3 linked regions of the Arabidopsis thaliana genome follow. The protein of the gene in region 1 interacts with the protein of each later gene in a pairwise test. Each region holds a gene or a part of one and is shown in the gene's direction. Other genes may lie near its edges.

What was found. Proteins that work in one complex are often made in the same cells at the same time.
Region 2: the proteins of KNAT5 (region 1) and BLH1 interact in a two-hybrid assay, tested with the Arabidopsis thaliana proteins (2 studies listed by BioGRID).
Region 3: the proteins of KNAT5 (region 1) and AtPOT1a interact in a two-hybrid assay, tested with the Arabidopsis thaliana proteins (one study listed by BioGRID).

Annotation. Positions count from the first base shown.
Region 1 is NC_003075.7:15,491,539-15,498,265, forward strand, and holds KNAT5 (homeobox protein knotted-1-like 5), read left to right. Parts: upstream 1-2,450; 5' UTR 2,451-2,588; coding exon 2,589-3,131; intron 3,132-3,515; coding exon 3,516-3,636; intron 3,637-3,728; coding exon 3,729-3,928; intron 3,929-4,017; coding exon 4,018-4,149; intron 4,150-4,230; coding exon 4,231-4,370; coding exon of another isoform or gene 4,371-4,374; exon of another isoform or gene 4,375-4,455; coding exon 4,456-4,471; 3' UTR 4,472-4,843; downstream 4,844-6,727. Other genes in the region: AT4G32030 (uncharacterized protein), read left to right, coding at 815-871, 967-1,029, 1,109-1,177, 1,281-1,469; AT4G32050 (neurochondrin family protein), read left to right, coding at 5,082-5,277, 5,415-5,565, 5,702-5,838, 6,018-6,121, 6,224-6,319, 6,591-6,684.
Region 2 is NC_003071.7:15,087,399-15,095,695, reverse strand, and holds BLH1 (BEL1-like homeodomain 1), read left to right. Parts: upstream 1-3,280; 5' UTR 3,281-3,469; intron 3,470-3,517; exon of another isoform or gene 3,518-3,580; 5' UTR 3,581-3,629; exon of another isoform or gene 3,630-3,909; 5' UTR 3,910-3,996; coding exon 3,997-4,839; exon of another isoform or gene 4,840-5,156; coding exon 5,157-5,545; intron 5,546-5,629; coding exon 5,630-5,690; intron 5,691-5,775; coding exon 5,776-6,525; 3' UTR 6,526-6,934; downstream 6,935-8,297.
Region 3 is NC_003071.7:1,887,543-1,895,877, forward strand, and holds AtPOT1a (Nucleic acid-binding, OB-fold-like protein), read left to right. Parts: upstream 1-3,141; 5' UTR 3,142-3,702; intron 3,703-3,928; 5' UTR 3,929-4,008; intron 4,009-4,171; 5' UTR 4,172-4,271; coding exon 4,272-4,398; intron 4,399-4,532; coding exon 4,533-4,669; intron 4,670-4,741; coding exon 4,742-4,934; intron 4,935-5,039; coding exon 5,040-5,137; intron 5,138-5,290; coding exon 5,291-5,370; intron 5,371-5,511; coding exon 5,512-5,778; intron 5,779-5,882; coding exon 5,883-5,959; intron 5,960-6,066; coding exon 6,067-6,125; intron 6,126-6,206; coding exon 6,207-6,365; intron 6,366-6,447; coding exon 6,448-6,654; 3' UTR 6,655-6,972; downstream 6,973-8,335. Other genes in the region: AT2G05220 (Ribosomal S17 family protein), read right to left, coding at 7,215-7,637. UniProt on the Arabidopsis thaliana protein: Component of the telomerase ribonucleoprotein (RNP) complex that is essential for the positive regulation of telomere length. Binds RNA non-specifically. Binds specifically single-stranded telomeric DNA.

The DNA of each region.
Region 1 (6,727 bases):
CATCTCTCGCACGCTTCAATTCTCACTAGAACGTATTTAGTCTGTTTTCTTCAACTTCTAACAAATTCACCGGAAAAAATTCCTCCGCCGTGATTCGCCGATGACACCGTCGGCCGGAGCCATCCTGCTTCTAGGTTAAATTCATCTAATCTCCAAAAAGTCAAAGCCACTTTAAGCTTAATTTCCTTGTTTTCTGCTCATTTTTTGTAATTAGAAAACTCTACTAATCTTCTGTAACAAAGCTTAATAAGAGACCTGTTTTTCTCGGTACGCATTGAACCGGATCTTGCGTGGCCGGTTAGATGTGGATTTTTAGAAATCGGTCAACTTTAATTTTGTCTTGAGGAATAATTAAAGCTCCTTTTAGATTTTGGGGGTAGTACAGCTTAACAGCTAGTTGGTCAAACGCGTCCGCGTTTTATTGAACGTTTTGATGCTCGAGACGGTAGCGTTTTGTGGGTTGAAAGTTGAAACGAGTAAAATGATCTTGTCGGAGAGATTGGTATCACGTGATCTTTAAAAGAGTGATGACGATAGATGACAATGCCCATGACACGGAATAATCATGATGTGGCATCAAATCCTCACTATAAAAATTCTTTCCCAATTATATATTTGAGATTTTTTAATTTTATGCTCTATTTGGTTTCTTCGATATATTTTTCTTACTTGTTTGAAATTTCTGTTGTGGGAAAAGAAACTTTTTACCGGTATGTTAAAATAAGATCTTGGGTATTGATTATAAAAGTAAAACAGTTGTCGTTATCTTCAGCCATTTAATAGTTGACTAATCAAATGCGTTTTTGTTTTGCAGGTTTTTCCCACAAACGAAATCACCAGTTGTTTCTCCAAGAGATTGAAGAAGAGGAAGGTAAATATAAAGTCTCCTTTTTGAATTTCAAGTACACACTCCAAAATTCAAATTTTATTGAGCTGATGGTTTTTTATTCTTTTAATATTTGGCAGTCATCTTTTGAGCTTAAAAATGAAGAGAACTTGAAGTTGAAGGAGAGACTTGACCTTGAAAAGGTAGATTTTCGTTGCTATTCTCTGTTTTATTATCATGGTTTTCATTGTATTCTTAAAAAAACCCAATATTTTTCCACAGGAGATTGCAAGTCTCCGAGCAACATTCGATGAACAAAACCTTAGGAACCAAAAGCTGAAGAGGATTAAGGTAACATTTAGATTCTCCCTAACCATCTTTACAGTAATCAGATATTCCAGATCCCTTCTCTCTATTTGCTGGTCTCATCGACTCTTGTGTTTTCTTGTTTCAGCTTGACTTAAACTCAGGCCGTGTCACAAACAAGAAACCTGTTGATTTGATTCGTAAATCACAACTCGAGCGGCTACAGGGATCAAAATCTTGCAAAACCAGTGACTCGCAAAATCAGGGGAGTTTCTTCGTCCTCCCTGATCTCAACATGGCGCCATCCGAGGAAGAGATATTGTACGGAACTAGCTAAAAACTGGCCTATATGAAGATTTGCGATCGAATTATAGTGAAGGGAAGAAGGGAGCTAGAGATGTCAACTAAGAAAAGTGAATGTAATAAGTGGTGTAATGAAACTCTCCCGTCACATTCTGGTTTTCCGTTTCCTTCTTTTTTTGGGGTAAAATGCTCAATTACTTCTTGATTTTTTCTTAGGAAGAGGGTGAAAATTAGGTTTTTACTTTTTACTCCCTCCCTCCCTCCCTCTCTGTTTTCTTTAATTTGATGTGTTAGAAGAAAAAATTTGTTTTAAATAGATGGTGTTATCAATTTTTAATGCAAAATTAACTACTTTTTTTTTTCTTTCTTTCTCTTTGTACCGATTTAAAAGCTTTTGTTGGAAATTGTAAAGAGGAAAAAGTAGGACAACTAATAGACTTTTTATGTTCCAAACATTTTCTTCTTCACTATTCTCCATACATTATTATATTAAAACCCTAGTTTCCGCTCAACTAATCCAAGACAAGAAGATCTATCAATCTCTTTGGACATTCATTTTTCTACTATTTAATTTGAATTTTTATAATATAAACTTGGGAGGTGTAATGCTATTGGTGGGTTGTCGGCGTGTTCATGGAAAAAGATTCGTTTTTAAATGCCCAATAAATTTGAGAAAAAATTGCCAACTTGTTTATGAGCTTATTTTCTTTTTCATGGATCCCAAGTCTTTTGTGTATAGAGATTAAAAAAAAATGACATTCCTTCATGTAAAAAAGAAAAAAATATCTGGGTTTTAAAAATATCTACAATGAGTTTAATGGTAAATATACTTATCATAATTTGGAGAATAAAGACCTAAAGAAGAAAATTACACTCTAGAACAGAAGTTTTGTAAGCAAATCATTGCTCACAAAACTTGTGAATTACAGAATTACAGGCTCTTGTAGGTTGAGTTATTTTATGCTTCATTTTGGTTACAGGCTTTATGTTGACATTAAAACAAAGAGATTGAAGTAGAGTCCAAAAAAAAAAAAAATATATATAAATATAAAATTCAAGATTAATTAAAAAATATTGGTCTTCAGAGAGATAAATAACTAGGGGAAAGAGAAAACAGTCTTCTCTTCTCCGATCCCAAAAACGCAGGAAAACAATGTCGTTTAACAGCTCCCACCTCCTTCCTCCACAAGAAGACCTTCCTCTCCGACACTTCACCGATCAATCACAGCAACCTCCGCCGCAGCGTCACTTCTCTGAAACACCTTCGCTTGTCACCGCCAGTTTCCTCAACCTCCCTACCACCCTTACCACTGCGGATTCCGATCTCGCTCCTCCGCACCGCAACGGAGACAATTCCGTTGCTGATACAAACCCACGCTGGCTCTCCTTTCATTCGGAGATGCAAAATACTGGAGAAGTACGTTCTGAAGTTATCGACGGAGTCAACGCCGATGGTGAAACGATACTCGGCGTTGTAGGAGGTGAAGATTGGCGGAGTGCTAGCTATAAGGCGGCGATTTTAAGACATCCGATGTACGAGCAGCTTCTTGCGGCTCACGTGGCTTGCCTTAGGGTTGCGACTCCCGTTGACCAGATTCCGAGGATCGATGCTCAGCTCAGTCAGTTGCATACCGTCGCCGCGAAATACTCCACTCTTGGTGTGGTTGTTGACAACAAGGAACTTGATCATTTCATGGTAAGTTTCACTTTCTAATTTTGCAAAATTTTAATGTTTTGAACTGTGAACGATTCAGCCATTTATTTCTCTTTGATTATCTGAGTATAGCAAATTCACATTTTTGTGTGGCTCATTGTTCCCGCTTCTCGAGTCTTGCAATCGATATGATCTTTGCTTCTACTTTTTTGGTTAGCTTGTAATTCGAATTATGAACTTTGTCTGACTCAAATAAGTTATATTTGTTGCATAAAGCTTCTTCTTTGATGACTAATAGTTTGTCTGATTCTTGCTGAAAAGGACTTTGCATGTCCAAGAGAAAGAAAGCATAATCTATTTTTTGTAACGTTCTGTTTGTATGTCTTATGGATTGGAATCTTACCTTTGATTATTATGTTGATGCAGTCACATTATGTTGTCTTGTTATGTTCATTTAAAGAACAACTCCAACACCACGTTTGTGTCCATGCAATGGAAGCCATTACGGCTTGTTGGGAGATTGAACAATCACTGCAATCCCTAACTGGTAACGTCCCAAATCATTTTTTTTTTTTGTTATTGTCTTCTTGCTTTATGTGTGTCTTGGTTTTATCGGTTTTTCTTTGTTCTGGTTTGTAGGAGTTTCTCCAAGTGAAAGTAATGGTAAGACAATGTCGGATGATGAAGATGATAATCAAGTAGAGAGCGAGGTGAACATGTTTGATGGAAGTTTGGACGGTTCAGATTGCTTGATGGGGTTTGGTCCTCTTGTTCCAACCGAGAGAGAGAGATCTTTGATGGAACGTGTGAAGAAAGAACTGAAGCATGAGCTTAAACAGGTAATTGCTTGATCAAGCTGCAATGGTACATCAAACTATACAAAACACATTGTTAAATCATGTTGCTCGGTTTCTTTTTTCCCCTGTAGGGTTTCAAAGAGAAGATTGTGGACATAAGAGAAGAGATAATGAGGAAGAGAAGGGCGGGAAAGTTGCCAGGAGATACGACTTCTGTACTCAAAGAATGGTGGCGAACTCACTCGAAATGGCCATACCCAACTGTAAACACCTTGGCCGAGAAGTTTTGTTACCACATTGTCAAAAGCAAGGTTTTAATTCGTGATTTGGTTTTGGAATTGCAGGAGGAAGATAAGGCAAAACTGGTTCAAGAAACCGGTTTGCAGTTGAAACAGATCAACAATTGGTTCATCAACCAGAGGAAAAGAAACTGGAACAGCAACTCTTCCACGTCATCTACTCTCACCAAGAACAAACGTAAACGGTAAAACAAGATCCGTTCTCTTTTTCAAATTGCGCAATTTCATTAAACCAACCCGGTCAAGATCTTCTTTTGTAACCAAACTCAGGACCGGGAAGTCGTAGGTGACATAGCGGCTAACTAGAGGATGGTTCTTTGCCATGTGAATTCTTGGGAACCGTATATGAAAGAAACGAATCCGGTTCTATGCTCGTACAGAGTGTGTTATTTGTATAGTGGATACCGGTTAGCCTATGAAACCGGATTCTGGAGTCCAAATTGTTGTTTGTAACGACTTAGTAGTTTTTGGAAGTGATCTGTTTCGTTGGTTTGCGTCTTGTAACGAACGCTTAAGCAAGTGTGGGTTTTTTCTTGTAAAGTGTCAATATGTTCGTTTGTAATGAATGTATCAAGCAATATTTATCATAATTAAACTAGCTTGAAATGTAGTATTACGATGTTGTTGTGTTCGTCTGATTTCTCTCACCGGTTGATGCATGGTTACGTTCGGCTCGGTTTTTATATGGTTCAATTTTTAATATATCGATAATTTTAAATGATTTCACTTGTATTATTAACAAAGCCCATTGGTATTTGGCCCAAAATCTGAATGCCGACTTAATGACTTGTTTCTTCTTCCTTCAGCTTCTCCAACGAACGGCTTTTGTTTTAGTTTTTTTTGCTTACCTTTCTCTCGACTTGGTCTACTTTTGTTACTCTTTGAGTTGGGTGATTATGGCAGCAGCACCACAGGAGGAACGATCTCCGTCGCTTGACGATTGCCTTAAGCTATTGAAAGGGGAGAGAGACGAGCAGAGGCTCGCCGGTCTACTTCTCGTCACCAAATTCTGTAAGAACGATGACATCGTTTCTCTCAACAAGGTCTACGAAGCCGTTGGTACTCACTTTCTCGACCGTCTTTTCCGTACTGGTAATCAAAACCCCGAATTATTGATCTTTGTCTCAGTAAATACTAATATCAATTTTGGGGTTTCTACAAAGTGTGAATTTTTTAGTTGAGATACTAAAGTTTGTTGCTCTGACTGGTTTCGATTTTTTGTTTTGCAGGTAGTGGCAGTGGCGATGGGGTTGATAATCGTGATGTGTATCTGCAGATATCTATCACTGTTCTTGCTGCATTCTGCCGTGTTCCGGAGATAGCTTCTTCAGAAGAGATGGTCTCCAGAATTCCCCTTATTCTCGAAGTAATGTCCAAAGGGTATGTTAGATCACCTGATTCTTGCATTTGCGACTTTCCATGAAGTTTTTTTTTTAATCAAGCTTTGCTTCTGTGTCTTCAACTTTTTGCATATTGTGATTGCCTAAAGTTAGGAAATTGGCTTTTGGAATTTCAGAATAACTACAAACATGCTCGAAGATTGCTATGAGCTTCTGTATTTGGTGTCCACGGCTTGTGAAGCTGGTCTCATGACTTTGATTAACTCTGGAGGCTTGAGAGTGATAGCTCCCCAGATGTCTGAGTTACCTGATGGTAATACATACTCTTTCATTGGGTTTACATTCTTTTGTTGTGTATATGATGCACATTAGATTCCATTGAATGCTATTTCGGATTGATTATATTTGGTGTCAAAGAAAACGTGCCATGTTGAGGTAGATGGATTTGATAATAGTTTTTCACTGGGAGCTAATGTGAGACATGTTATTCAGGTTCACATGCCATGGAGGTTGCTATAAAGATTCTGCAGTTATTGGTTAGTAAGCTTGATTGTGGGAGCATGACTATTGAACGCTTCTTAGAACTGTCTTTGGTGGTGAGTCTACTTACTTGGTTACTTTTTGTTTTCTTTTCGCAATACTTACTAAAGCTGCAATGCTGAAGTTGGACTCCAAACATAATGTTAACTTTTATTCAGATTGCTGCTGTTGCACGGCAGTTTGCGGTGTTGCATAATGCCCTGAAGTTTGAAGCACTCCATTTACTGTCTGCAGTCTTCTCGTCAGAGTATTCTGTGAGTTTTCACTTCTTAACTTCCTCCGGAAAAGTATCTATAGTTACTAGCATGATTTATGTAGATTTAATGCAGCTAAATTTTCAAAATTTCTGTCCATTGAAATTGGAAAAATTAAAGTTTTATTTTCCTTTACTTGGAGAAATACAGTTGCCTTCATCGTCTTGATGTTATTTAATATGCATGTTATGTTTCCATTGTAGAAGCTCTACATCTTTGTTTTGTGTGCTTATCTTTTTATATGTCTCTCATAGAAGTTCGTTATGCTTAGGAACTTCTTCATGAACCTCTTCGTTCCATGCCCGACAACAATTGGGCAGACTATATGCGCACAGGTGTTGTGGCAATTCTGCAGAACCGTGTGGGTAAGTTAGTAGTTTGTTTGGAACACTGGAAATGGCATACCCA
Region 2 (8,297 bases), on another chromosome or scaffold:
GGTTTCCATATGATCAGACAACAAAATAATAATTTGTACTTATAATTTGACAATGAGAACATAGTTATTAATTAATGTAGAATATAGCATAACTGGAAAAGATTAGCCAATTAATGATTGTTTTGGGGAGTAAATGTATGAAAACTCACACATACAAAAAAAAAACTCAGAAATTTCACACAGAAAAAAACATGAAATGTTCGACTAGTTGTTCTAATAACATATTGTAAACTGATGAAATTGTTGAAACTATGAAAACTCAGAAAATACAGATTTAGAAGATTTTTGTTGACTAATTTGTTTGATTTCTTCCTCTAAAATAGTTTTCTTCATTATTTTTGAACAAAAAATAACACAAGTTGATGGCGAATATTACAAATTCGTATGACATAAAGAAAGAAAAAACAGTACTTAGTCAAAGGCATATAACATGCCAAACCCGATCGCAATGAGAAGACAATCCAGATTAATTTATATTGGAGTAAAACTAATTATGCGTAAATGGGCTTATTTTAGGAGTATTTAATACACACCCGACGAATAGTAATGACCACTATAACACCGTGAATATTGGCTTATTGATGATAAAATTTAAACCAAGCCACATTACGTATGTTATGTAACAACTGCACGCTCAAAATCTAGCTAGTTTGGTGTCTAACCTGGGAAAGTGGGTCAAAACACTCGTACGCATAACCAAAGTAACGGTCTCTACAAACTGCATTCGTTTAACCAAGACTAGAAGCTCGACAACTGAAATCCATCAAAGATTTCACTCCAATGAGAAAAACATAAGAAACAAGTTTTTTATATAAAAGCATTATTTTGCACATTATGTTTGGGATTTTTTAATTCCATTTTTAGGATATAGTATTTATAATGACTAAAAATGACAAATGACAAATATTTGAAACAAACTACAAAGAAATTAACGTTTTCCTACGTCCAAAATCGTAGGAAACATGGTTTTTCTCTCATTTTTCTACGAAAATAATTTATAGGAAATTTTCCATAAAAAATCAATACTGATAGGAATTTGGTAATCACCACATGTATATTTACTCACGCAACAAATAAAATTATAATAAATACTATTTACATCTTATTAGAATTTAAAAAAACACGCATCAATAAATGTATTACAATTTTTTCTGAGTGTTGTTGTTTGAAATTTAGTGAGACTATTAAACATGAGGCCAACCCTACAATTGTTTTGATCAACAATAAGATATGTATAAATATGAACATACTAGTTTCAAAAATGCTTTTGAAAAATAACAAGATACCAGTTTTTATGCGCTATGGATGATTTATTTTACATAACTGGTAGTTTGTTTATGTGGACGGTAAACGATTCAAAAAGATAAGCAAATTTGTCCACATATGTTTTTGTTGTTCTACATACAAATTATAATTATCTATATCGTATAAATAAAATAAATACAAGTTACTAAAAAAGACTTTCTCATGAACTTAAACACTCTTTGCAATTAATCAACTAAAATTATCTACTATATTTCTAATTATATTTTAAATAAAATACTTTTAGTCAAATACCCTTTAAAAATAGACATACGTGGTAAACTAAAAGAATATATGAAATAAAGAAATAAAAGTAAATATACATTTAACGGGACCCACTCTTTCCCCATCATGCTTCATTATCATTATCGTTATCATCTTCTTTCTTCCTCTCTCCTCTCTTTCTCAATAATTTAGATTTTTGTGTGATTAAATATTTTAGGTTTCTGCAGAAGGAGACGTTTCCTCGTTTTTGTGCTGTTTGGATCTTCTGACACAATTCACTTTTCCGTATAAGTTTTCAATTTCTCTAATCCCATTATGTATATTTAAAATATTATACTCTTAACCTATTTGAGTGTTTGGAAGAAAAATATAAACTAACGGTAGGACTTTCAAAAATGAAATCTATTCATTTTCTAGAATAAAGTGTTGATGCGTTTTAAGTTTTTATGTGTATGTGGTAATATAAAACTTTGTAAATAAAGTATCTTAGTTAATCTGCTGAGGAAAATAATGAAATGAAATTAAAGAAAAAAACAGTTGAAAAAAGAAAAAATGAAAAGAACTTGGTAACGTAAACATTACTAATTTTATTACTTATAAATCATAATCAGTTCAAAGTTCGTTGCCATCCTCAGTGTACACTCTGAACTTGCTAGATGATAAAAGTCTGCAAGAATAGTAATCCGAAGAATACTTTATGTTCAGGATTGTAGTTATATCAATAAAGAAAGATTTGGATTGAGATGCGTGTGGGATTTCTTTTTATTAAATAAATACAAATATAATGTTTTAAAAGAAAATGATATGATTCTAAATTGGACACGACATACATATCACTATGTCTTGATGTGATAACATTTACTTCATCTATGAAATTATATCGTCTATAAATAACTAAATAAAGGGTGTTTGGTTGTTATGATATGTGGGTTCATTACCTGGTCAATACATGAAAAGGCCAAAGTCATATCATACAAGTTCCTCTGTTTTTCAAGTATACCAATTCTAAATTTATAATAAGATACGTATCACATATATATTACCAAATAATGTATACATATGTCTATGAAGTTGAAATATTTCGAATTTAATATTATCTCTTGTACTGGATGTCAAACTAGAATTTCAACAACAAACAATTATATGCACATTTTCTCACTTAGTTTTATGAATTTTAGCTCCCTATGATATATATGTACTTTGTAACTTATTTATCACCATGCTATATAGTGATAATAACATGAAGTAAAGGTTTTTTGAACATGCAGTATGAAAGAATGCTATGTCTTTTTCTTAATTTATTCATTAATCTTTTTCTATTTAAAAAAACTGTTGAACCAATTGCTCTAGAGTACACTAATTTAAATGATTACATAAAGCTATATCTAAGTGTAGAGTTTAATATCAATTTTGAAAACAAATTCCAACATGGTTGGAATGTCTATTTAGCATATTAAATTAAAAAGATAAGTAATATTAGCTGGTGGTGAACGTAAACACACACACACACACAAATTGTTTTGCGGATACAAGTATATATCAATATATGAATGTAAAATTAAGTTACATTAGTGAATATTTCATGTCCTAAACATTGGTTATTGTCCCATTTAACAAAAAATCCACTTTGGTTATAAGATATACCGACCACAACACTAAAATAAAATAAAATAGAAAGAAAGTGATGAAAAATGGTGGCGTACTAAGGACTGTGGGAAGATTAATGAGTGAAGGAAAAGATGGGTATCTTTTATCTCTCCTTTCTTTATCCTCTCTCTCTTTCAATATATATTAGTCATTTTTATTTTGTTATATATTATTTCTCAGCTTTTTAAATGTATTTTATATTTCCCCTTTGAGCAAGAAAAGAGTTGCAGAGATCTTTGAGTCTGACACAGAGACCAAACTCACATAGCAATCACACACATCTCCACAAACACAGGTATGCATATAAATATATATATATAAGTGTATATTCGTGTGTATGTGTGTGTGTCTGTCTCTCTCTCTTTCTCTTTGATAGAAATTCTCTAATGTAACTTTCCTTTTGCAGCTTGAGATGATCATGAAACACGTGCATCCTCAGATCTCTATCAATCCAGGTTCTTCATCTTTTATAATATTCATTTTTTCTTTCAATTTCTAACTCTATTATTTTATTATTTTATTTTCAATCATGATTATGTCTTAATTTCCATATCCTTCAATCTCTCTTTCTCATAATCCATAATTCATCCCTTCTTCTTCGTCTTCTTGATGTGATCACGATTCTTTTTTTCTTCGCTTCAACTGTATATATATACAGATCTATATTAAACTTATAGTGGTTTTGTTTTTGCTCCTTTTTCATACTTTTGTTTGTTTTTCTATGATATCAATCAGCTTGGTGAAAGAAGGTCAAGAATTGAAAGAGAATCAAAGAAAACGACGTCGTTTCATTCGTGTGTAACAACTACTAATTATACATAGATGGCTGCTTACTTTCACGGAAACCCACCGGAGATCTCTGCCGGATCCGACGGTGGTCTTCAAACGTTGATCCTCATGAATCCAACTACTTACGTTCAGTACACCCAACAAGACAACGACTCGAACAACAACAACAACAGCAACAATAGCAACAACAACAACACAAACACAAACACAAACAACAACAACAGTAGTTTCGTTTTCCTCGATTCCCACGCGCCGCAGCCAAACGCGAGCCAGCAGTTCGTCGGAATACCACTCTCAGGTCACGAAGCTGCTTCCATTACAGCCGCCGACAACATCTCCGTACTTCACGGTTATCCTCCGCGCGTGCAGTACAGTCTCTACGGTAGCCACCAAGTGGATCCCACTCACCAGCAAGCCGCGTGTGAGACGCCACGCGCGCAGCAAGGCCTCTCTTTAACCCTCTCGTCTCAACAGCAGCAGCAACAGCAACATCATCAACAACACCAGCCTATTCACGTCGGATTCGGGTCCGGACATGGAGAAGATATCCGGGTCGGGTCTGGCTCTACAGGATCGGGGGTAACAAACGGTATAGCTAATCTTGTTAGCTCCAAGTACTTGAAGGCAGCACAAGAGCTTCTTGACGAAGTAGTCAACGCTGATTCCGATGACATGAACGCTAAATCCCAACTATTCTCATCGAAAAAGGGTAGTTGCGGAAATGATAAACCTGTCGGAGAATCATCGGCCGGCGCTGGAGGAGAAGGTTCCGGTGGCGGAGCAGAAGCAGCCGGGAAACGTCCGGTGGAGCTAGGCACGGCAGAGAGACAAGAAATACAGATGAAGAAAGCAAAACTTAGTAACATGCTTCATGAGGTAACAACAATACGTATTATATACAATAAGCCTACATATACTGAGTGCTCTCTTATATCACACATGAAGTGGACTTAAAAGTTCTGTCCCTAAGATTTTCAGTCATTTTCACAATTCATTTTATATGTATATTAAGCTATCCTTTTTTTTTTTTGCTCTTCCGATTTCTCAAATTGACAACTTACAAGATTGATGAAATCTTTTTTTTTTTGTCCCTCTCTTAGTAAAGACTAACAACTTTTATAGATTATATTTATGTAGACCGTACACTTATGTTCATAAGACTCACGTTACTTTGTTGGTTGAAAAATGAAAAGGTGGAGCAGAGATATAGACAGTACCACCAGCAGATGCAGATGGTGATCTCTTCGTTCGAGCAAGCGGCAGGGATAGGATCAGCGAAGTCATACACGTCGCTAGCATTGAAAACCATATCAAGACAGTTCCGTTGCTTGAAAGAGGCGATCGCTGGTCAGATAAAAGCGGCCAACAAGAGTCTTGGGGAGGAAGATTCAGTGTCTGGTGTTGGGAGGTTTGAGGGGTCGAGGCTCAAGTTCGTGGACCACCACTTGAGACAGCAAAGAGCTCTTCAACAACTGGGAATGATTCAACATCCTTCCAATAATGCTTGGAGACCTCAACGTGGTCTCCCAGAACGAGCCGTCTCAGTTCTCCGTGCTTGGCTCTTCGAACACTTTCTTCATCCGTAAGTAACCCACTATACACACATGCACTACTTTTCATCACTGGAACACAAACTCAGTCTCTAAGTTGTCTTTCTTTTAATTAGATACCCTAAGGATTCGGACAAGCACATGCTAGCTAAGCAAACAGGACTCACTCGTAGCCAGGTACGTTTCAAAATGATTCTTTCTTGTGTTATTAGGTTACTTAAGAAAGCGTTTTTAAGTAAATTTATTTTCTTTAATTATTTAGGTGTCGAACTGGTTTATAAACGCGAGAGTTCGGTTATGGAAACCAATGGTGGAGGAGATGTACATGGAGGAAATGAAGGAGCAGGCAAAGAACATGGGATCCATGGAAAAGACTCCTTTGGATCAAAGCAACGAAGATTCTGCTTCAAAGTCAACAAGTAACCAAGAAAAGAGCCCAATGGCGGACACTAATTACCATATGAATCCCAATCACAACGGTGACCTAGAAGGCGTCACTGGAATGCAAGGAAGCCCCAAGAGACTAAGAACCAGCGACGAGACAATGATGCAGCCAATAAATGCGGATTTCAGCTCCAACGAGAAGCTCACGATGAAGATTCTAGAAGAACGGCAAGGGATAAGATCAGATGGTGGCTACCCTTTCATGGGTAATTTCGGGCAATACCAAATGGATGAGATGTCAAGATTTGATGTAGTCTCAGACCAGGAGCTCATGGCGCAAAGGTACTCAGGAAACAACAATGGCGTGTCCCTCACGTTAGGTTTACCTCATTGTGATAGCTTGTCGTCCACGCACCATCAGGGTTTCATGCAGACCCACCATGGGATTCCTATAGGGAGAAGAGTGAAAATAGGAGAAACAGAGGAATATGGACCCGCCACCATCAATGGTGGTAGCTCGACCACAACCGCACATTCATCAGCGGCAGCTGCCGCGGCTTACAATGGGATGAACATACAGAACCAGAAGAGATATGTGGCTCAGTTATTGCCCGACTTCGTTGCATAAACCCATCTCTCTAGAAGGAGAAACCGAAACAGGTTATTATATACGTTTCTAGTTTTTAATTAGTATATAGTTTCTCATACCATTGAACCAAAACAAAGAACAAAATTTAATTTTAGTCTTTGGTTATATATGGCCGACGGTTGTATATCGATTTTGTAATTTTTTTTTTTCGTTTCTATTGGGGGATGGATAGGGTTATATATGTATATGGATTAGTTACGTGTAATAGCTTGCATTGGGTGTATACCAAAATATATTTTTACTTTTATTACAATGTAATAATTAATAAGATAGTGAACTGATCTATCAAATATGGAATGATGATTACAGATTAGATCTAAGCTGTATAGATTCCGAATATGACATGTATGCTTAAGCGGCTGGAAACTTATAATATTTTTTGAGGAGTGTTTATGTGTTAAAAGCATATTAAATAAAATTCTACACATTCACAATACAAATATAAAAAAAAACAAAGAAAGCAATCTCTGAAATAAGATCTTACGAACTGTTGAATTGAATTCAGATTTCAAACTTTGTGTATAGTTTTTTTTTTTAAATCAATTAAGATTAACGTTTATAAAACTTGTTATAAATTTTCTTTTCAAGATATATAAAAATGAAAATGTTCAAATCATTTTGTAGAATAGCGTCACCTGCTGAGAGATAAACTTACAATAACAGTAACAATTTTTTTTTTCTGTTATTAAAGACATTGACAGAATATTTATATGAAGACTGCGTGAGAGTGTGAGACTAATTTCGGAGAGGTTTGTAAGAAAAAAGTTTACAAAAACATATGCGAATATTTAATATATATTTTACTCATTTTCGGCCCATAACTTTTTTTGGGCCCAAATACCTTTCTATAGATATTAATAAATAATGAAATTTAGTGAAACACATGAAATATGTTGCGACTATCGGAGCCAAATTCATGAGTCAAAAGTTGAAAAACACAACAAATTTGAATTCATTATTTAAAACTGAGGCCCAGAATCTAATAAAATTTCCGATTTTGTTACCCAAATTACTCATTTTAAGCTTCCCTTCAACATCACTTTGTTTAGGCCCAACGCAACAACCCTTTTTTAAATTATAAAAAATAAAATTCTATTGTCCAAAAAGAAAAACAATAATAAGAAAAAAGTTCTTTACAGAGAGGTTTTTTCATGGGTAAACTATTGATTGAATGTTAAGGTCATGTAAAAACAAAAAGGTTTGGTAGGAATATAATCAACTATTAAGTCCTCGAAATATATGTTCAGAAGTTGTCCACTTCAACAACTTCCACACTGTATTTAACGACTACCTTATTTGAATGTGTAACGTTTAAGCCCTTCTTCTTACTTACAGCAACAGTCTGTACAAGAACAAACCAGCTCTAACCGGACTGGTTTGCTTTTTCATACCTGAACCAGATTAGTTATGGTGCTTATCAGATAGATAAACGGAATACTAGTTAGTATACATCATGTTGCATTCTACAATCATTTTAATTGACTATATTATCGATATGCAGAAACGGCATGAAATGCTTTAATTTGTGACATTTCCTTGAAATATTGAAACACTTATGTAATGAAAATAAAAAGGAAGTTCTTAAACTATTTTAAAATTGCTAGAAGAGCTTTAGATGCATTGTACCTAGCAATTACAATTGTTAGTCGTAAAGTAAGATCACATTGTTTAATATATCTAAAAAGAGTGTGGTCAAATGAATTAGTGAATTACTTTGTATGAGTATAGAATAATATATTAGTTTCATACAC
Region 3 (8,335 bases), on another chromosome or scaffold:
ATTAGTCAAGTTTTGGCACTGGTGGAGTACAAAAACGGCAGGTGTGTAAATGACGAAAGCGAGTACATTTAACGACAGAAGAAACAGCCAGTGATTCGCGACAGGAGATTTGGGTCTAGATCTAAAAGTCATTACTTTATTCGATGTCTCTTCTTAGTTGTTTCTCCAACGGATTTGTTATGGTTTCTTGCGACGGTTGTCTTTTATATGGTGATGAAGTGTCTGTTGGTTGGTGGAGGCGATCGAGTTGTTGGTGGCGACTGAGAGAGCGTTATGACTTATTCATCATCTTGTTCTATATATGTATAACTTATGTGTTGGTATAAACAACCATATGGATTGCACATCTTGGACACACATCAATGGACAATGTTGCATTTGTTTACCATTAATGTGTCATCGCTGGATATGGATCCATTATATAATTATGATAATGTCCATACTCTATACACAAGTGAATATTGGTCAAAGAAAAATGGACGGTGTATTTCTGTTGAGATTGAGTTCTTGATTAAATATGTAAGATAAAATGCTTCAATGAGAACATGAATAAGAAGAAGAAGCTCAAGCAAAAGAAGAATATGCATGGGAGAAGATGAAATAATAAGTGATTGGGCTAATTGTTTTGTTAGGCCTAAATGAGTAAGTGTGTTATGTTAGTTAAAGTTTAGCTTAGTGAAGAGTTGTTAGAGTTGTTGTTGTGTAGGAGTTGTTGGTAAACCTTGCTTGTAAGCTTGGGTATACCTTAGAGACTAGAGTAATGATGTCTTAAAGTAAGGTCTAGGTCTAAGTAGAAGCATAATGCAAGTGTGTACTTAGTAGAAGTAAACTAGTATGAATATGTGTGTGTATGTCTTATAATAAGAATCTATCTTTGAATCCAATACAAAAATGTTGACAACTAATGTTTTCACTTTTCTCTCTCTTACTAATCGTTTTATGTCTTCGTGTCAAAACAAGAAACTAACCAAAGACTGAGAGAATGAGAGTGAAGGTTCTTTTTGTGCTTGAGTTAAAATGAGTGAGTGAAACAAAGCATTAAAGAGAACTAAGAGATGTAAGAGAAGTGAACCTCTAAAAGTTAAATAGAGGAAGAACCCAAAAGTTCAACAAATTTTTTATCAACGATTATTGTTCATGTATAAATTTGTGCATTGATATAAAACAAACTGTGAGTTACTAGGTGACCATTTGGACTTGATTGTTTGGACACTCGTCAGTGAACAATTATATCTTTAAAAAGAATATCTAAATGATTTAGAATGACTAAATGTTCTTTAAGAATCAGATGGATGAAACTTTGTGGACAACAATCGTACCAAAAGCACCACATATAGCTTTTCCAATTCTTAACATGTAAGACCAAAAGATTCACAACTCTCATCATAACAATCTGCACAATCCACGATGCGTCATCCATAATGTGCCATCCATATAAACATTCCATTATCGTCATCCACATTGTTAGAACTAAGATACAAACATTCCATAAACAAGCAAAATCTAAAATCTAAAAAGCCAACAATCATATGATCAGTTTAACGTCATCAAATTCAAGAGAGTGGCCAAGTGCTATGCAATGATAAGAGTATCCATATACATGTGAACAAATTGTCAAAACAAATTGGTGATTGCAGCTAATGTAAAAAGTCATATGGATATAGAGGTGTGGATAGGTGTGTGATCTAAACACATCATTTCTAGATCCGGAAGATGTATCTGTTGGGAAACGATAGCTCCAATAAAACCAAATATCACATCTTCCCTAGCATTTTTGAGATAGAAAGAGATTAACACAAAGTTATTGTTAGCCAAAGTTTTTGAAGACCAACTACGTATCTATAGGCTGGAAATAGAGCAAAAATTAAACAAGGAATTCAAGGTGTTCCCAGAGAAGGGTATTAGAATTTTAACTGGAAAACTAGATGCATTTTAACAAATCAAATTTCAATGTCAATTCACAACATTCATATCACTGGATCCTAACTTGGGATTGAGTCAACTACTTAATTTAAAATTCTTCAAGTAATTTGTCAAATCGATCCTAACTTGGGATTGAATCCTATCTTACTATTTATCAATTTAACATTCAATCTTAAGAAACAGATAAAGCCAAGTAAAAATCCAATACGAGAGAGGATAAAATTTGGTTAAAGATGCTCTTACCTCTCCCAAACAATGATTCAGTTTTTCTTCTTCCCCAATTCAAACATCCTTAGTGATCTGAGTTGAGACCAATATTTTCTGTCTTAATCTTCGGCGAATTGGATTTCTAATGTTAATAATCCTTCGATAAGAAACGATGGTGGTGGCCATAAGTTTTCCAGCGAATGGAGAAAAATATACAAAAGTAAAAAAAAAAAAAAAAAATTAGGGTAAACATAGATTTTGATTGTGAATTTAGGATAACCTCATAATTTTCATGATTTTGTAAAAATTATAGAGAACGACAATGATTTTGAAAGAGAGATTGAAAATGATGAAAAACAAAAGAATATGGAAGAGAGAGATGATAAAAGGGGGATAGTTTCTTACCCACACGATCTCATCAAAAATAAGTTTAATAATTATTGTGTCATCATTACTTCAGGGGTAAATTAGTCCAATTTCTCCTCAAAAAGATGGCAAAGTGCCTAATCCCTGAAAAGTGCCTCAAAAGGAATAAAATTCTTTAAAAGTGTCTAAACGTGTCACATTCCCTTATCATTTTAGTCCTTTAATTTTTATATATTCAAAATATTTCAACACTTTGACTCGTAATCTACAGATTAAAAATAAAGAGACTTATCTATCTCTTCGTAATGCATTGATTGATCACATATGAGAGCATTACGAAAATAATTTTATTGAGTAATTTGTAATTTATAAGTTAATTTATGTATTTTTAATTTTTATTTATATGTATTTTATTTATAAATGTATTGTTTTGTTAATTAAGATTATGTGTAATATTTTAATGTATGTTTTAGTGTTATTATTAAAGTTATATAGTTTTAAAATAATTATGAACAATATAAAGACTATAATGCAAAACACATATTTTAGAAACTTCATATTTAAAGTATACTCTTGGAGAAGAAACTACTCATACTTTATATTTGAAGTTTACATACTCTATATATAAAATATCTTTTGGATATGCTCTAAATTATATTGGATTATCTTTTAGAGAACCTAAAACTTTATATTTGAGGGATAGAGTATCTCTTGGAGATGCTCGTGGTAGTTCAATATTGTACCTTAACTGTAACGTAAATGTTGTTATCTTTACTTAGACGTCTTTGATATGTAAAAATTCTATCTCTGTATCCTGTTTGTACTGGCCTCTCCAAGGTTCACCATTATTGGATGATGCACTGGGTTGATATATATAACATAACTTTTTGGCAAAAAAAAGAAACAAGAAAAAAAAAACAGTCTCTTTGGCGATAGCGATTTGGTCGGAGATTTCTCCGATTACATTGATTGGGACTTTAGTGAATCTTCACAGAAGCAACTTCACGGAGAACGGCGAGAAGAATGTGGAATTGAGAGCGTCGTTAGAGGATCGAGAAGCGTCGGCCGTTTCACTGGAGAGATCTAGTGTTGTTCGTTGATGAAGGGGTTCTAATTTCGATACCTAACGGAATTGATCATTGATAAGGTCTCATTCCGGTGGCAATCGTCGTCGCCGGAAACAATGTGCACAGATACGACCTTGAGGTTAGTTTATTCCTTTAAAATCTAATCACAACAAAATATATCATTTGTATTCATGGGATTATGTTCATTGTAATGGATTTGAGGATTTGGTAGATAAAAGTAGTAAAAATTGTGGATTGAAGAATTTTCTTGTGAGAGATGGTTGATGTAAGGGAAGGATCATATTCTGGAACATTTGTTAGCTTTGGTTACTTCTCACCATTGTGATGAAATTTGCTATATCCAGGGGATGATTCAAGTGAGAGAAAGATAAAGTTTTTTTGCCTTCAGTCTGATTCTGCATTGAATACTTCCAGTGGGCTGCAGGTTAGTGCTTAGTGTTCTTTTGATATCCTTGCATTGTCATTCCGTTGATGGCTATTCTATTGCCTCCAATGTATACTCATTCCACTTATTGGCTCCAATGTATACTCATTCCACTTATTGCCTCCAATGTATACTCACTCCACTTATTGGCTATGGGCTGCAGGTTGGTGCTTAGTGTTCTGTTGATACTCATTCCACATATTACCACTCTCTAATTTTGTGACGTCAGGATAATACTTAAAAACGTTGTAGCAAAGCGGGAGATGGCGAAGAAGAGAGAGAGTCCCAAGCTCATCAAAATCAAAGACGCCATTAAACTCATCAACCAACAAGTCAGTCTCATTGGTATCGTCCTTGAACAAAGAGAACCAAAACAATGTCGCAACAATGGTACTTATCCAAAAAAAACCAAAATTTGAGTTAAATACATAGAATTTTGCTTGAATCTGAATCTTAGTTGGTTTGTTTTGTGAAAGCCCTAACATTTGACCCAACAAAATCTGAAAGTTGGATTTTTTTCTTAGATTGGATTTGTACGCTACGGATAATTGATGATACGTATCCAAGTCCTGGACTTACTGTTAATGTATTTAGTAAGACTCTTGAACAACTTCCTCAAATCAAGAACCACGACGACATGATTCTGTTTACTCGCATTAAGGTACAAAGACCTCTTCATTTTCCTTCTGTGTTTTGTGCAGGAGGTTATAAAGTTTGGATTTTTATTGTGTAGATGCAAACTTTTGATAGTGGAGAAAGAGTAAATGCTGCTTGTAGTAGATGGGTTTCTTCCTTTGCCTTGTTCGAAGGTGTGGATTTTGTTTGTTACCAATGTAGTACCAATTTTCATGAAGAAGAAGCATTATACAAGAGTGCCATGGATGATTTACGCAAAGTTTTTGCGGGTTGTAGCCAAGTTATTAAAGGTAACACTGTGAGCTTCTTTTGCTTTCAACTATGCATATAGTATAATGGCTTTGGATAGCTTGGAACGATTCTCATAAGCTTTCATTTACTGTTTTGGTACTTAGCTATGCAGAGTATATCTTACAGAACAAAACCTTGCTCCGAAGTTTTTTCCTTCTTGAGAGAGATCAAGATAGGAAAACGCTTTGATTTGGTGTGCAGGGTAATATGCTCTATACTCTCTATTAACTGTGAGAAAGCTTTTTAACTCTTCATTCCTCTATACCACTTCATTGTTACTTCAAATCTTTTTTTGGCTCCTTTTATGTTTTGTTGACTGATCCTACCTTGTTTCCTGCTGTTTCTTGTGATGGAGATTCTCCATGCCGATGAAGATACTAGCGCTGTTTTTGTTTGGGACGGGACTGATGCACCCCCAGCATCTATTCTGGCTAAGTGAGTATTAACTGCGAAGGAAAAAAGTTTTAAATCCTCACATTATCTGTTTTGAGTCATTCATTTAGGCTTGACTCTACGCTTTCCATATCCTACGCTTACTCTTCTTCTATTTGGTGTACAATGTTTGGCTATCGACAGGAGAAGTGAAGAAGACAAGGCATTTAGCAGTCTCTCTGTTCATACTTTACTGTCAAGAGATGTACTGCTCAGCTTTCCAACCGTTGGAACGATCTTGAGAGTTCATCTAAGCAGTCATCTATTTTATCGGGTTAAACCTGGTGATTGGGTGAAACTTTACCATTTACTCTGTGAAGTTGATAGAGGATCTTGGGTAATCAAAGTTACCAGCTCTACAAAGGTTCATCATCTCGCTCAAGATGATCGTTTAGTTGAAAAGATCATGAGGTTTGTACTTCTTGATATTTCTTTCAGTAACTACTTCCGACCTTTTTGCATACCATGAGAATCTCTTACCATTTTGTTTTATAATCTAATGTGCCAAAAACTAGGATATATGATAAGAGACTATCATCAAAGTTGGGACACATTTCATTCTGGTGTTTTCCGTCACCTCCTGGATTAACAGGTTGCAATACTTCTCTTTTACTTAATGAGCAGGATCTAATCTCAACGAATGTTTTTCTCTGTGTCAATCTTTAGACAGACTTCCTTAACATTCTTGGTGTCTTGCAGAGACAGATGACAATTGTGCCCCATTTGTTACACTGATGGACATCATAACATTCCCCAAGGTACCATTCATGAATCTATTTGCTGTATTCCCTGAAAAGATTAAGAATACTTTTATGTGATCGCCTACGTTGTTATTACAGGTTACATGCAAGTACAGATGTATTGTTCGGGTTGTAGCTGCATATCCTTGGCAAGTAGAGGATTTCTGTTCAGATGAGAATCGCCGTCACCACCAAGTTTTGTTGACACTGGAGGATTCAACAGCGACTTTAGAGGCTTTCTTATGCAATAAAGACGCAGTAAATACACCATTTGGTCTATTTGCATCTAAACTGTCAACAAAGATCGTCTCTGATAGCCTAATCTAGATTTTATTGGCAGGAGTACTTTTGGGGTTTAGGGTTTCAGGACACAGAGACGCTGAGGAAGAAGCGGAATTGGTTGCTCGGTATACGGGAAAGCTCGAACTTTGTGGCTCCAAGAAATCCACCATGGATCGAGTGCTGCATCCTCTCCTACTATACTAACAAAGCTGACCCGTGGAATACTAGATTATACAGAATCTTTGGTACTAGACTACTTCATTAAGTATTTGTAAGTGTTAAAAGAGGATTAAATAGTTTAGTATTAGGCTCATGTTAAGAATGTTGGATTTGGCTTACTTAAGTATGGTAGTTGTGTTGTTTTAGTTCATGAAGACCTTGTAACCAAAAGAACATCTTCATGATATTAACCAAATCCAAAGACTGAACACAAAAATATCTTCCTCTAGACCTAAAGAGTTAATAGAAGCAGCAGGCAATATACACATTTTCATTGTGGAACAACTCTACCTTGTTCAAAGTTTTAAAATGGTTTCGACCTGTGGAATGTTTCACTAACAGTCCTTCATAAAACTCCACAATCTTCGCTGATACAACAACTCTCCCATGAATCAACTCGGATCTGATAAGCAAAAAGTATTGGTACTATCAAATGTTTGAACTCCAATTTTGGTTCCACATAACTTAAAAACCATTAATACGAAAGAGTCTCACATTGAGTTTAAGACATAATCAGAAGAAACAATAAACAACCACACAAGTCTTTCTTGTCCCTAACTGAGAAAAAAGAGAGCCAATCGTAGCTGATGATTAGCTGAGGCCATCTTAGTATCTTCTGGGTGCCCTGCCGCCGAAAGCAGCGATTGGTGCCATAGCTTGTTGTGGCTCGACTGCAGAGATGCCGGATGTGTCAGACATTCCTAGAGAAGCAAGCATCTCAAGAGTCTCTTTGTCGACCTTGATCTCATCAGTCTTGATAGCAGACTCATCGGGAACAAAGTCCATACGGCGTTCACGCTCTTCTTCTTGAAGCTTGAGTGAGATTCCACGGACTGGTCCCTTCTGGATACGTTTCATCAAGTGGGTGGAGAATCCAGCAATCTTGTTGCGGAGTCTCTTTGATGGGATGATGGCAACCTCTTCAAGGATCTTCTTGTTAGTGTGAAAGTCAAGAGTCATGCGAGAGTAGTACTTCTCAATGACTTGACGTGAAGATTTCTTCACCGTCTTGGTTCTAACACGCCCCATCTTTCAGTGACTTACCTGATGAGAGGAGAAATTCCATGTCTTATTAAGGATTCAAAATCAAGAAACAACCAAGTATAGATGATTTATGTCTTAAACTTCAACATTCAGGTTGAACACTAAACAAACACAGGAACCACATGTAAATGCAATGTCAAATATTGTCAAGAGAATTGAAAATGAGTCAAGTAATATACATCAACATAACGCTCAACTTGAAAGAGGTCTAGTGTTCTTATCAAACAATATAAGCCAAATTTTATACATACATTTATATTCAGCCTAAAAGAATATCAACTCACGACACACTTTTGCTGAATGAAACACAAAATAAGAGAAATTCAGAAAACAACAGAACCTCTTCACACGTTGGTATAATATACAATGCCTAATATTAAGACCAAAAACTCAACTGCATTAGAATCTTAATTAATCAGATACAAAAGCTACATTATCAATTTTGACACATGAACATCAAAATCAAGCAACCTATAACAATTCACACAGATACAACAAGAATAGCAAACTATCAAGTCAAAAGTCATGTAAACGTGTTCACTATTATCCACTAGTCTTCTCAAATTGATTTCATCTTAGTTAGTAGATGAAACCCAAATTCAACATTACAGTAATCAACACAAACAAGTGAGAGTGGGCAATATAAATCTAATGTTGTCAAACCCATTACTCAAAATCTACAG